Linked DNA regions of Xenopus tropicalis. The protein of the gene in region 2 interacts with the protein of the main gene of each other region in a pairwise test. Links are inferred from orthologs where the notes say so. Each region holds a gene or a part of one and is shown on either strand. Other genes may lie near its edges.

The links.
Region 1: the proteins of ccdc57 (region 2) and sfi1 interact in a two-hybrid assay, tested with the Homo sapiens proteins (2 studies listed by BioGRID). The two-hybrid records come from large-scale screens. The link is inferred for Xenopus tropicalis from reciprocal best matches to the Homo sapiens genes CCDC57 and SFI1.
Region 3: the proteins of ccdc57 (region 2) and tmem100 interact in binary tests that used the Homo sapiens proteins (3 or more experiments, as listed by UniProt). The two-hybrid records come from large-scale screens. The link is inferred for Xenopus tropicalis from reciprocal best matches to the Homo sapiens genes CCDC57 and TMEM100.

The regions. Positions count from the first base shown.
Region 1 is NC_030677.2:152,123,717-152,127,371, reverse strand, and holds part of sfi1 (protein SFI1 homolog), read right to left. Parts: coding exon 3,650-3,655; intron 3,380-3,649; coding exon 3,304-3,379; intron 3,171-3,303; coding exon 3,075-3,170; intron 2,993-3,074; coding exon 2,916-2,992; intron 193-2,915; coding exon 90-192; intron 16-89; coding exon 1-15. UniProt on the Homo sapiens protein: Plays a role in the dynamic structure of centrosome-associated contractile fibers via its interaction with CETN2.
Region 2 is NC_030686.2:27,521,803-27,525,507, reverse strand, and holds the start of ccdc57 (coiled-coil domain-containing protein 57), read left to right. Parts: upstream 1-860; 5' UTR 861-1,004; intron 1,005-1,070; exon of another isoform or gene 1,071-1,491; intron 1,492-2,582; 5' UTR 2,583-2,590; coding exon 2,591-2,991; intron 2,992-3,705. UniProt on the Homo sapiens protein: Pleiotropic regulator of centriole duplication, mitosis, and ciliogenesis. Critical interface between centrosome and microtubule-mediated cellular processes. Centriole duplication protein required for recruitment of CEP63, CEP152, and PLK4 to the centrosome.
Region 3 is NC_030686.2:25,278,926-25,282,680, forward strand, and holds the start of tmem100 (transmembrane protein 100), read right to left. Parts: upstream 2,503-3,755; 5' UTR 2,435-2,502; intron 2,422-2,434; exon of another isoform or gene 2,319-2,421; intron 1-2,318. UniProt on the Homo sapiens protein: Plays a role during embryonic arterial endothelium differentiation and vascular morphogenesis through the ACVRL1 receptor-dependent signaling pathway upon stimulation by bone morphogenetic proteins, such as GDF2/BMP9 and BMP10.

The DNA.
Region 1 (3,655 bases), on a different chromosome or scaffold from region 2:
CCATGCCCGAACAACCTGTAACATGGATTCAGTTACTCATAGTACATAAGATGGGTTCAGAGAGAAGAAGCTGCACTCTGAGAGTTTACCTTTATTTGAGTTGTAGCCCTGTAGTGAATAATTGCAAGTCTTTCCTGCCTTCTCTCCAGAACCTGAGCAGATGCTTGATTCCTCCAGCTACACAGTGCACCTCTAGAGAGCAAAAAATCCTTGAATCAAAATCCATTTTCTTCCATTGAAATCCATTTAAAAAAAACCAAAACACAAACAGATTGTTTTTATATTTATTATTATTATTATTATTATTAATTTTGAAATGTCACATGGGGCTAGCCATATTCTTCATTTCCCAGGGTTCCACAGCCATGTGACATGTGCTATGATAAACTTCAATCACAATTTACTGCTGAGCTGCAAGTTGGAATGATATCACCCCCCTCCCTTTCCCTCCCAGCAGCCGATCAGCAGAACAATGGGAAAGGAGCAATATAGCAGCTCCCAGTAGATATCAGAATAGCACTCAATAGTAAGGAATCCAAGTCTGGCTTGGGACTCCTCCAGTTACATGGGAGTTGGAGAAACAATAGGTTAACTGAAAGCAGTTCTAATGTGTAGCATTGGCTCCTTCTGAAAGCTCAGACACAGGCTCAATGCACTGAGATGGCTGCCTACACACCAATATTACAACTAAGAAAATACATTTGTTGGTTTAAGAATTTTTTTTTAAATGGTAGAGTGAATTATTTGCTATATTCAATTTAACATATGCAGATAATTATTTTTCCCCAATGACATGGTGTGATCTGCCAAATACTTGTAGAGTTCTATACAAACAAAAAAATATATAGGTTTAAATTGTTAGAACTACAGCAATTAAAGAGGATGTTCACCAAAAAATCATCATTATTTTAAAATAAAGTTTCTTTTCAAGGCTGTCCCCTCTTAATCTTCCAGTCTGTCATTCAAGACACTAGGGGTCATTTAAAAAGCACAAAAAGTCCAATTGGCACTGTATTAGTGTTTGCAGCTCCCACCAACTTGCAGGACTAACACATAAGCATTAAAAAACTATACTCTGTGGGGAAGAACAAATAACAGGGAAACTCCTGGTTCCAAATTTTAAGATATTTAAAGTGCTCAATTTAAGGCTAATGTCTGAGGAAGCAATTTAGTCGCCTGTGATAGATCAGGATACCTTGGGTGAATAACTACTCCGAAATGCCTTTCCATTAGCAACAGTAGGAATCGCCAGTGGAAAGACCTATGCGTTGCTTCAGCTTTCTGAACCTGCGCAAAGTTCCCTCCAGCAGGCAAATTTGCGCAACTACACCAGGAGCAGTTTTCCTGTTATATGCCCTTCCCCACACAGTATACTTTCAAGACTAGGGGTCATTTGCAGAATATAACAGTTGCAAGATGCAAAAAAACCAAAACACATTTTTGTATACTGCTTTCAGCTCTAGACATACTGCCACGAGCCTCTGCGCTCCCATTCAGAGTACTGAGATCTGTGGTTATCCCCTTGAACAGAGCCCCGATTGCATTGGGCAACACTATCCAAGAGTGGCGAGGGAGGAGATGCATGCAAGCATCCTCCCCCGAGCATCATTTAGATGCACAAATTAGGTACCAGCTAGAAGTGCAGGCCACAACTGGGCCCTATCAGAGTAACCCCTCTAAATAGAGTACCGCCTGCATTAAGCAGCACTTTATCTATGAGAGGTGAGTAAGTGGAGTCACGTAGGCATCCTCTCTCCCACTACCTAACTTCTGCATTATTAAGATAATGTTAGGCAGCAGAAGGCCGCAACCAGGCCCCTGTCCTATGGCAGGGTTCATCTGTGCTTCATTGCTCCGTGCTCTGCTTTTTATATTGAAAAGAGCAGAGTGCAGCATTTTGTAAGGCTCTCTAGCACCCTTTGTGCTCAAGCACTCACACCCCTGGGAAATGTAAATTACCCCCCTACTGTCTGGTTGTTGGGGTCACTAGGACCCTAGCAACAAGTTTACTAATCATACAGCAAACAAAAATGTTAAATCATTTAAAAAAAAATAAATAAATAAATGTATAAAAATACACAATAAAATCTGCGTTAGAATATAGTTGTATACAACATAGTAAATTTTAATCTTAAATTAAAAACCCACTTAAACAGTAACTAAAAACAAGCAAAAATATTTTTGAACACAATCTACAAGTTTCAAGATTAGAATGTACAATGCCCTTTAATGACAGCACAGAAGGCAATATTGTATACGGTTCTGTATAGAAACAGTTAGGCTCAGGAAATTATTCCCATCATTATTTTCCATTTCACACATTTTTCAAGGGGAAGTTAATCACATCATTGTTCTCTATTTCACCCAATTTCAAATGAAACTTGAACACATTATTGTTTTCCAAGAATGAGTGCAAATGCTCCTAAAATAGCTGCTGGAGCAATTACTGTTTAGGTAAAAAATAGGATTCATGGAAATGAACGGCCATTTAAATTTCACAAATTTCTTGGCTTAAAAAATCGTGATTTTTGGACAATAAACTTAATATTTTTGTTCAAACCTACCAACATTATTGTGACATTTAATAAATGACAGTGTTTTATTTAAAAAAATACTAAATTTGTTGAACTACAGCTACCACTACTGACCCCCTTAGGTAATTGCTTTAAAGATTTTTTTGTCGATTTAAGCTCCCATTTGCTGTCCAGCATTCAATTATAACCCCCCATTAGAACATAATAAGGTTACAGATGAATGTCAATGTTGCCTTTTCAGCCATAGTTCTAAGAATATCAAGACAGCCTTAAATCTAACTTTACGAAATTAGGCTAGCTTCCAGGTATATCTACATAGTAAAAGGGTATTCTCCCCAAATTAAACTGCCTTTTTTTTGGCCACTGAAGGAGAAAACTCACCGCAAGAAAGATTCATTTTTTTGCTTCTCTTTCTCCTTCACCTGATGCAGTATGTCCTGTACACTAATATGATAATGCTGAAAAAGAGAAAATGAAGAATTATTTGCATTGAGAACTGGTAAGCATTACGTGTGTGTTACAGGGCTCTTGAAAACTTACTTTCCATGCCTGAAATACATTTGCAAGCAAGTTGCGCTGGTAGTGTAGATCAGCCCTGACTTGTTTTTTCCACTTTTCATGTCTCTGAAACAAAAACTGCAGAAAAACATTGCTAGGGTGCCGGTTAATACATCAGCCTCTAAAACAGGAATTATATAGACAGATATATTTAGCTCCAGCTGTTTCCAGTAAAATACTGACGTAAGAGTGATGTTGTGCACTCTCTTACCCATTTCCAGTGGTTCCAGGCATTCTGCATGCAAAGCACACGGTGGTGAAGTATGGCTTTCTCCTCTCGAGCTCTCCTAAACCAGACACAAGTAAGGACATTGTAAAGATATAGGAAACCCAAAAACTGATAACTGAAACCTTTCCACGACTACAAACAACAGCTGTCAATGATAGTTCTGAATCAGTTGCAGTACTAACGATAGTCATTCCCTTATCCAAAAACCCAGCATTGTTTGTTCATCCAGTAAGTTAATTGAACTTTATTTCTTCCATATCCCACAAAATCCCTCATCGGGGGCCAGATATTATCTTTTTCAGAACCCAAATTTCTGATTTGCTCTTACTCTGCC
Region 2 (3,705 bases):
TTGGCCCTGTTTATAACTATGGCAAATGCACAGAACTGGGCATGACTGAAGCTAATATGGCCTTTATCAGTTTCATTTAGTAATTTTACTGGCATGTCTGGGGTTAATATGCCCTTTATCAATTTAATGTAGTCATACTGGCACCTTTATTCTTTTTATTTAGTGATTATACTGACACATCTGGGGCACATAAACTAGGTGCGGCACGTGGGGGCGTGGTCACGAAGCAGGCTTGGCCCAAAAATTTTGCCGCGCTGCATACTTTTCTCCCTCTTTCTCTTACTGAAATGATGGGAGGTATGCAGGTAGTGTGATTATTTCCACAGAACACTGTTAATGCAATTTAATGCAATATGGCATCACTTCTGGGTTGAACGCCAGCAATTAATATTCCTGTTTAATAGCATGCAATGGCGCTTCCTAGTCCTCTCTTTAAAGGACATGAAAAGTCTAATTCACTGGGGGGGAGCCAAAATGTAGAGAACCCCCCAGTGAAATAGCACCAGCCTGGGTAAAAATATAGCAATCTATTTCTCTTGGGGGGGGGGGATCTGCCTAACATTTTAGCCCCCCCCCAGATTTTACATGTCCTTTCACTTCCTACACAGCATTTCCTATTAACATGTAACGCACACAAAAAGACTTTGCCTGACACAAAAACTTTCCCCACCCACTAAAAGTTTTTGTGTTGGGCACCCACTAACATCCCCTCGACATTTTTGCTGCAGCAGGTTAATCATTTTGACTTCCTTCTCCACAGTTATTCAATCACCCCAGCACACCACGCATCCGCCGCCCCCAAAGGTTAGAATACAACGAAAGTGCGCAAGTCTTTATACAGACGCATGCGCAGTGAAAGGCGGTAGAACTGGCCCAGCATGAACCCACCAATGGGGAGAGCGAATTGGTTCCCACAGTAACGCGGATACGTGTTTAGACGCTCTGTTCCTTAATATTACTCCTGTCTTCAGCGAGAGGGCACATTAACTATTGTGGCGCTGAATGTAAGGAGAATGTTCTGTTAATGTATAGTCTGCATGCATTCTGTATTGTGTGCACTTGTGAGAGCGGTCAGGGTGCGGGGCTGAGCGGTATCATTTAATTAATGACTCAAGGAGGGAAAGATGGCCGCTGGGTAAAAGCTAATATTCTGCTGTCACACCATTCTGATTTTTGCCTTCAAATTCTGAGGTTCAGGTGGGGAGCTGTGCCCTACTTATGAACATGGTGAGGTAATTTGGGATTTACATGTCCTTTAATTCCATAAATAGACTCATTTAGACCCACAACACTATTGGGGTGATTTATGGCAAACTGGGGAAAGAAGTTCAGAGCAGTAAGTTGTATAAGTTGAGTGTGAGAGCTTGTTTCTTAGTGCTCATTCAGAAAGCAATTCTTCCTTCCTTCGATTTGCACCTCACAACATATAAACAAAAGGTATTTTGTCCTAATAAAAAAAATGCATTTTGTGGCTTCCCATTTGATGATAGGGTAAGTGTAAAGCTGTGCTATGTGATACTGAAAATTTCTTATGTTCTCTTAATTTTTTATGTTTGAAACAGGGCCGGACTGGGTCACCAGGACACTGGCAAAATACCAGATGGTAACTGGCAGCGGTAAGGCTGATGCCACACCAGGCGTAGGGCTGATTTTTTCGGCAAGCGGAAAAACGCTTGCCGAAAATTCAGCCCTACGCCTGCTACTTGTGCCTGCACCCGAATGAATGGGATACGCTCGGGTGAAGGCACAAGTAGCCGATATACGCATGAAAACGCGAGACTTTGCATTCTCTCGCGTTTTCATGCGTATATCGGCTACTTGTGCCTTCACCCGAGCGTATCCCATTCATTCGGGTGCAGGCACAAGTAGCAGGCGTAGGGCTGAATTTTCGGCAAGCGTTTTTCCGCTTGCCGAAAAAATCAGCCCTACGCCTGGTGTGGCATCAGCCTAAAGGACTAGTGCAGGGGTCCTTGAATTACGGTCTGCGGGCCAGATATGACCCCCTGCTGCCGTGGGCTGTAGTTTTAGGCATAACTGAGTTGCCGGCAGCCTCCTCCTCCATCTACCCCTGTGTTGGCGTTCTGCTCTGCCCAGCGCGTCACCGTGTCACCACATAATACGGTGACATCACCGTGTTACGTGTGACGCGATGACGCGCTGGCCAGAGTAAAACACCAACACAGGGGTAGACCTGCCCCCCAACAGTCTGAGGGACCATGAACCAGTCCCTTGTCCAAAAAGTTTAAGGACCCCTGGACTAGTGCATCGGGGCTGGTTGGACCCTTAACTGAGGTCTTCTAACAATCCCCATTTATGCCAGTCCGACACTGATTTTATTATACTAAAGGTTATTTTTGGATTAGTTTCCACTTTCTAATTTTTCAGCTGTGCTTTATTTACCTATTGGATACAAATTATTTGAATAGGGATTTTTGTATGCTTAAATGGTTGAGAAGAACATACTATGTAATTTAATTGATTGTACCCACTATTACAATACTAGATGCTCTGTGTTAACATAGAAGCACATTCTGACTTACTGAAAATATTAACTTAGATTTATGTACCTCCTACATTCACAGGCTCAAAAATGTTGCCAAAAGAGGAGGAATTTTCTGTTCTTCTGGCTAAAAAAGAACAAGAATGGAGAGAACTTCAGCAGCTACAGGTTCAGTTTTTGGAGATGACTCTGGAAGATACAAAAAAGGAACTTCAAGAACAAAGAGAGAAATTTGCTTCTCTGAAGAAGGACTTCACCCACAATCTCAAGGTGTTGGGAGAGAGGGACCAAGAGCTTGAACAGTTTGAAATGATGTTCAGTCAACTTAAAGTAGTTGAGAGTGAAAAGCAGGCCAGAATCAGTGACTTACGTGTGCAGATTGAGAAACTCCAGCAGCAGATCCAAAAAGAAAAGAAAAAAGTAGAAGACTTACAAAGTCACTATCAGAAAAAACTCAAAGAACAACATCTGCATTTAGAGAGCGTTCGCAGGTACTGCTTTTACCTAAATATGGTTATATTATATAATAACTGCCACACACCTGTTATAAATACTTACACATGCTGTTTTTAAAGGCCATGTGTAAGCAGTTAAAACAGGCATGTGGTAGTTATTTTATTTAATAGTACTACACCATCAGCAACTTTTTATTTTCTTGCAGACCAATAAGAGGGCTGTATATACAAGCTCATCAAAATTGGTACCGTTCTTTTAGGTTTTGCATATAGCAAAAAAAATATTTATATAAAATATATATTTTTTCTGCATACATGTATTACAACTTGTATATGCAGTGCTGTAAATGTCTAACAAGGTATTTTTACCACTGACAAGGATCGTTAGAAAGGTAAGAGGAGAACCATGATGTAGCTTCACCAGTGGAATGAAGTATGTACATTATTAAACGGGAACAGTCAACAGAAACAAATGCCAATAATAAATCTAGGAGGATGAGAATAGAGGCATCATATGGCCTTAGCAACTTGGCTATTGCAATAAGATTGGAAAGGCAGATTGCCAAACTTTTGTCCTGTAAGAAAACACAACACAGTATGATAAAAAAAATTAATTTCATTTCTGATGCCAGTCTTGACACAGGTCTGTTTGAATAAAGAGAAAAAAATTACAGGCAATAGATAAGAATAGTATAGGTGAGTACTGCAGCAGCACAGTTTTAAAAGGGTATCAAGGAAGCAAGTTATGAA
Region 3 (3,755 bases), about 2.2 Mb from region 2:
CATACAGAGGGGTGCCCTGCACTTACTGCCTAGCACTTCAGTTCTCTGGGATTGGCGTAAGGGTGCAGTTGTGCCTGTAGCAGTCATAAATAAGCCATATAGGTAAACATTTCAAAGCTGAGTTACTAAATGAGTAGATTCTCAGACAGAGGCTGGTGTAATACAACTTCATTATCTTAATTAGCTGCTGTATTTAATACAACAGAGGGAGGAATAAGCCACCTGTCCTGATAGGGAATATTAGTGTAATACATTCTTTCTAATTGGCTGCTAGGTTTACACCCTTATAAGCTTGACCTCTGATACCGCTCAATTAATACAGGCCACTTATTATTTTGTATTTATTTAGAATTGCTGCGCACTAGTAATGATACAAGTAGGTGCAGGCAGCTCAGGGCAAAATGTATTCTGGTCATTTTTTAAATAATAGAAAATATACAGATCTGATGCAATTTCAAAGTAAAATCTCTCATTGACCCCCAGTATAATATTTTAGAAATTTAAGCTGAAGTCAATATTAGCGATTAGTGGAAATACAGATTATATTTTATTATTTGGAGCCCATATAATTTTTACAAGATTGTGTGTAATCATTTACTGAAAGATATGCCTGTTGTAAGATTGTGTTGGTAACAGGTTTGATGTGGTGTGTTTCTAGTTACAGGAAACAGTGTGGTATTTATTAGGCTATAGACGTCAACTTGTTAAGTTAAGGTATGATAACTTTTAATAGATCAACCTTTCTGTCGCACAGGGTATTCTCGTCTCTTCATCAGATGTGCGAAGAGGGCTGCTGCAGTCTGCAAGGCTTAAAGGGGCAGTGACTCTGGAATCAGATTTTTCTCACAAAACCTCCTATTGTAACTCCCTTTATTTACTCTAAGCAAGCTATATTTTATGTAGCATAACTTTTTCTAGCAGCAATGTGCCCGCCTTTAGAATATAGAACTATAAGAGCGATTTCCAATGCTGAGAGATTCACAAACATTTATTTCTCTCTCTCTCTCTCTCTCTCTCTCTCTCTCTCTCTCTCGCTCTCTACATATGTACATTAAATATACAAAGAAAAAGAAGAAAACTGTTACTTAATGGTACAGACATCCAGAATGGTACAGTATCCAGAATGCTTGGGACCTGGGATTTGCTGGATAAGTGACTTTTCCATAATTCAGATCACAATACCCTAAGTTAACTAAAAAACATTGAAACGTGAAATAAGCTCAATAGGATTGTTGTGTCACCAATATGAATTCATGCACCTTTGTTACCATCAAGTACAAGGTGCCATTTGATTATCACAGAGATAAAGGAAATAATTTTGAAAACAAATTGAATTATTTTCTTAATATGGACTCTATGGGAGCTGGCCTTATTTTGGACATATTTTGGAACTTTCTGCATAACTGATTTCAAGCCAAGGGATCCTATACCTGTATGTTTTCAATTAAAGCTATTCCAGTTTAAAAAAAAATACCAGTAATACATCAAATATATAACTTGGCTGAATATTGGATTCTCTACTATAAATTCAGCCAAATCAAATCCAAACCCGAATTTGCATTTTCATGTATAAATCATATCATCACCTTCAGTTATCTAACTGTCCTGTGCTTTAAATGCACATGATGTGGATTTGTTTCGGCTATGGACCTACAGTTTCAGCCAGATCCGAATCCTGCAAAAAGTGCTGAGATTTGCCCCGGATCCAGGTACTGGTGCATCACAAATAAATGCTTAAACCCACCCAAGCACCATGATCAAAAGCCATGTTATCAGCTGGCATCAACGTAAAATGCTTTAAAAAAACACATAGCGAGTTATTTTGTAGGGATTATTCTAACAACCACAACAATCATTATTACTGCAGAAAGTAACAAAAATTACAGCGGATGATAACAGCGAGTCAGTTCATCTAGATACTAGACGGAACACTTCTTACATCTAAATCAGAACCTTATACTCTAGAATTTTCTGTTAAGCCAGTCATCCCAAGGGATGCGTAAATCCGTGAAGAATGTGCCCTTATACCTCGCACAATTAGAAACATCTTACTATTAAATTGGGATATACAACTCAAGAAAATTCTAAATCTACTCAACATTAAAGCTCCACACAGAAACGAAAAGTCAGAAAATGAATTGGAGAATATAAAAATAAATATAATGTATGTATAATTTCTGAATATTTCGGATGCGCTTTAATTTAAGTTTCATACCAAACACACAACCTATACAAATATCTATCTATTGCTTTTCTATTGCCAGGGCTAATTAATTTGTATAAAAGAAATAACTCCCTAAGCAGAAGAGGAAACTTACATGCAAATGACATTGCAGAAAATGATACAGTAACAAGGCGAATTTATGCACATCCAGACCCTGTGTTTTGCTGGTTCATAGGTCAGAGGCAGTCAGAGAACAGAGGAGCTCCTTACCTTTCCATGGCCAGACTGCAACTGAACTGAGCCAGCCACATGTACAGAAAGAATATGTGAGGGGATGCAAATAACAATGCAAGGGAGCGTCAGCTAATTGCCAGCTGCTTGTACAGGAGAAAACCACTTAGGGATGTGGGTAAAATTCTCAGCTTTCAAAGGCACACATTGTATGTTCACCAGCAAATGCTTGCTTGGGTTCTTTCTACATACAGTGCCTAGAGATCACTGTAAAGAAGTTGTATTCTAGATCCCTAGAAATATCCCCCGTTATGTTCCTAGTACAATACAGCTAAATTAAAATGTAAAAGAGTTTTTAAATTTTAAATAGTACGGATCCAAACATAGGTTAATAAAAGCTGCTAACTGGATGCCTTCTGGCCAAATTGGCAGTTTTCTGGCCCATGTAAGGGGCTTTTATGAGGGGCCAGCTCGATTGACACCTAAAAATTATTTAGATATCTTTCTGGGCAGGTTAGAAAATCCTGTTGGATGAGGGCCACTTGAGTATATTGAATCCTCTCGTGTTTCCATAGGCTCTTAGTATGATCTGATTGTTGGCCCACCTGCCAAATAATTTGATCACCTCGATTTGGCCCAGACGTTGGGTAGCCTAATCAGTAAAAGGTTTGGAGACTTTGCCTAGCGATATGCTCTTGTTGTAAATGCCCAACTTAAAAGAGAACTGAAGCTTAACTAAAGAAGTAGGCTAGAAATGTACATATTTTGGGTTTCTGTACCAGCCCAAGGCAACCATAGACCTTTAGTAGGGAAGATCTGTGCCTCCAAAGATGCCCCAGTAGCTCCCCATCTTCTTTTCTCCTGATTCACTGCACATGTTTTGCGCTGCTGTCACTTAATTTATTTAGATTCTCATTATATGGCAGCTCTGAAACCAGTGCAATTTGCACCAGAATTTAATAATCAGCCCTGTAGCATCAGCTTCTATGACAGGCAAACCTCATTTTGTAATAATCTTTTGATAATTTGCAAAAACCCCTAAGCTTAGCATCTCATCAGCTGCTCAGACCGCTCTCAAAAGACCTGTATCATTACCGCTATAGAGAAGCTGAAACTTTAGGTTGGTTCAGTAAGTTCAGTATATCAAATATGGCATCTTTAGCCATTTTCATTTTTAGGTTTAGTTCTCCTTTAACTGAAGTGGTGTATACTTGTGAATCACAGTACCCCAAAGCTCCTGAAATGTTTTGACCCCTTCAAGCCTTAGTTTATTTTGTTGCTCATTCATCATATCATTTATGGCATTTATTTCATAATATTATTTATAGCATTCCCCCCAATTCTGTTACCTGCTATAAAG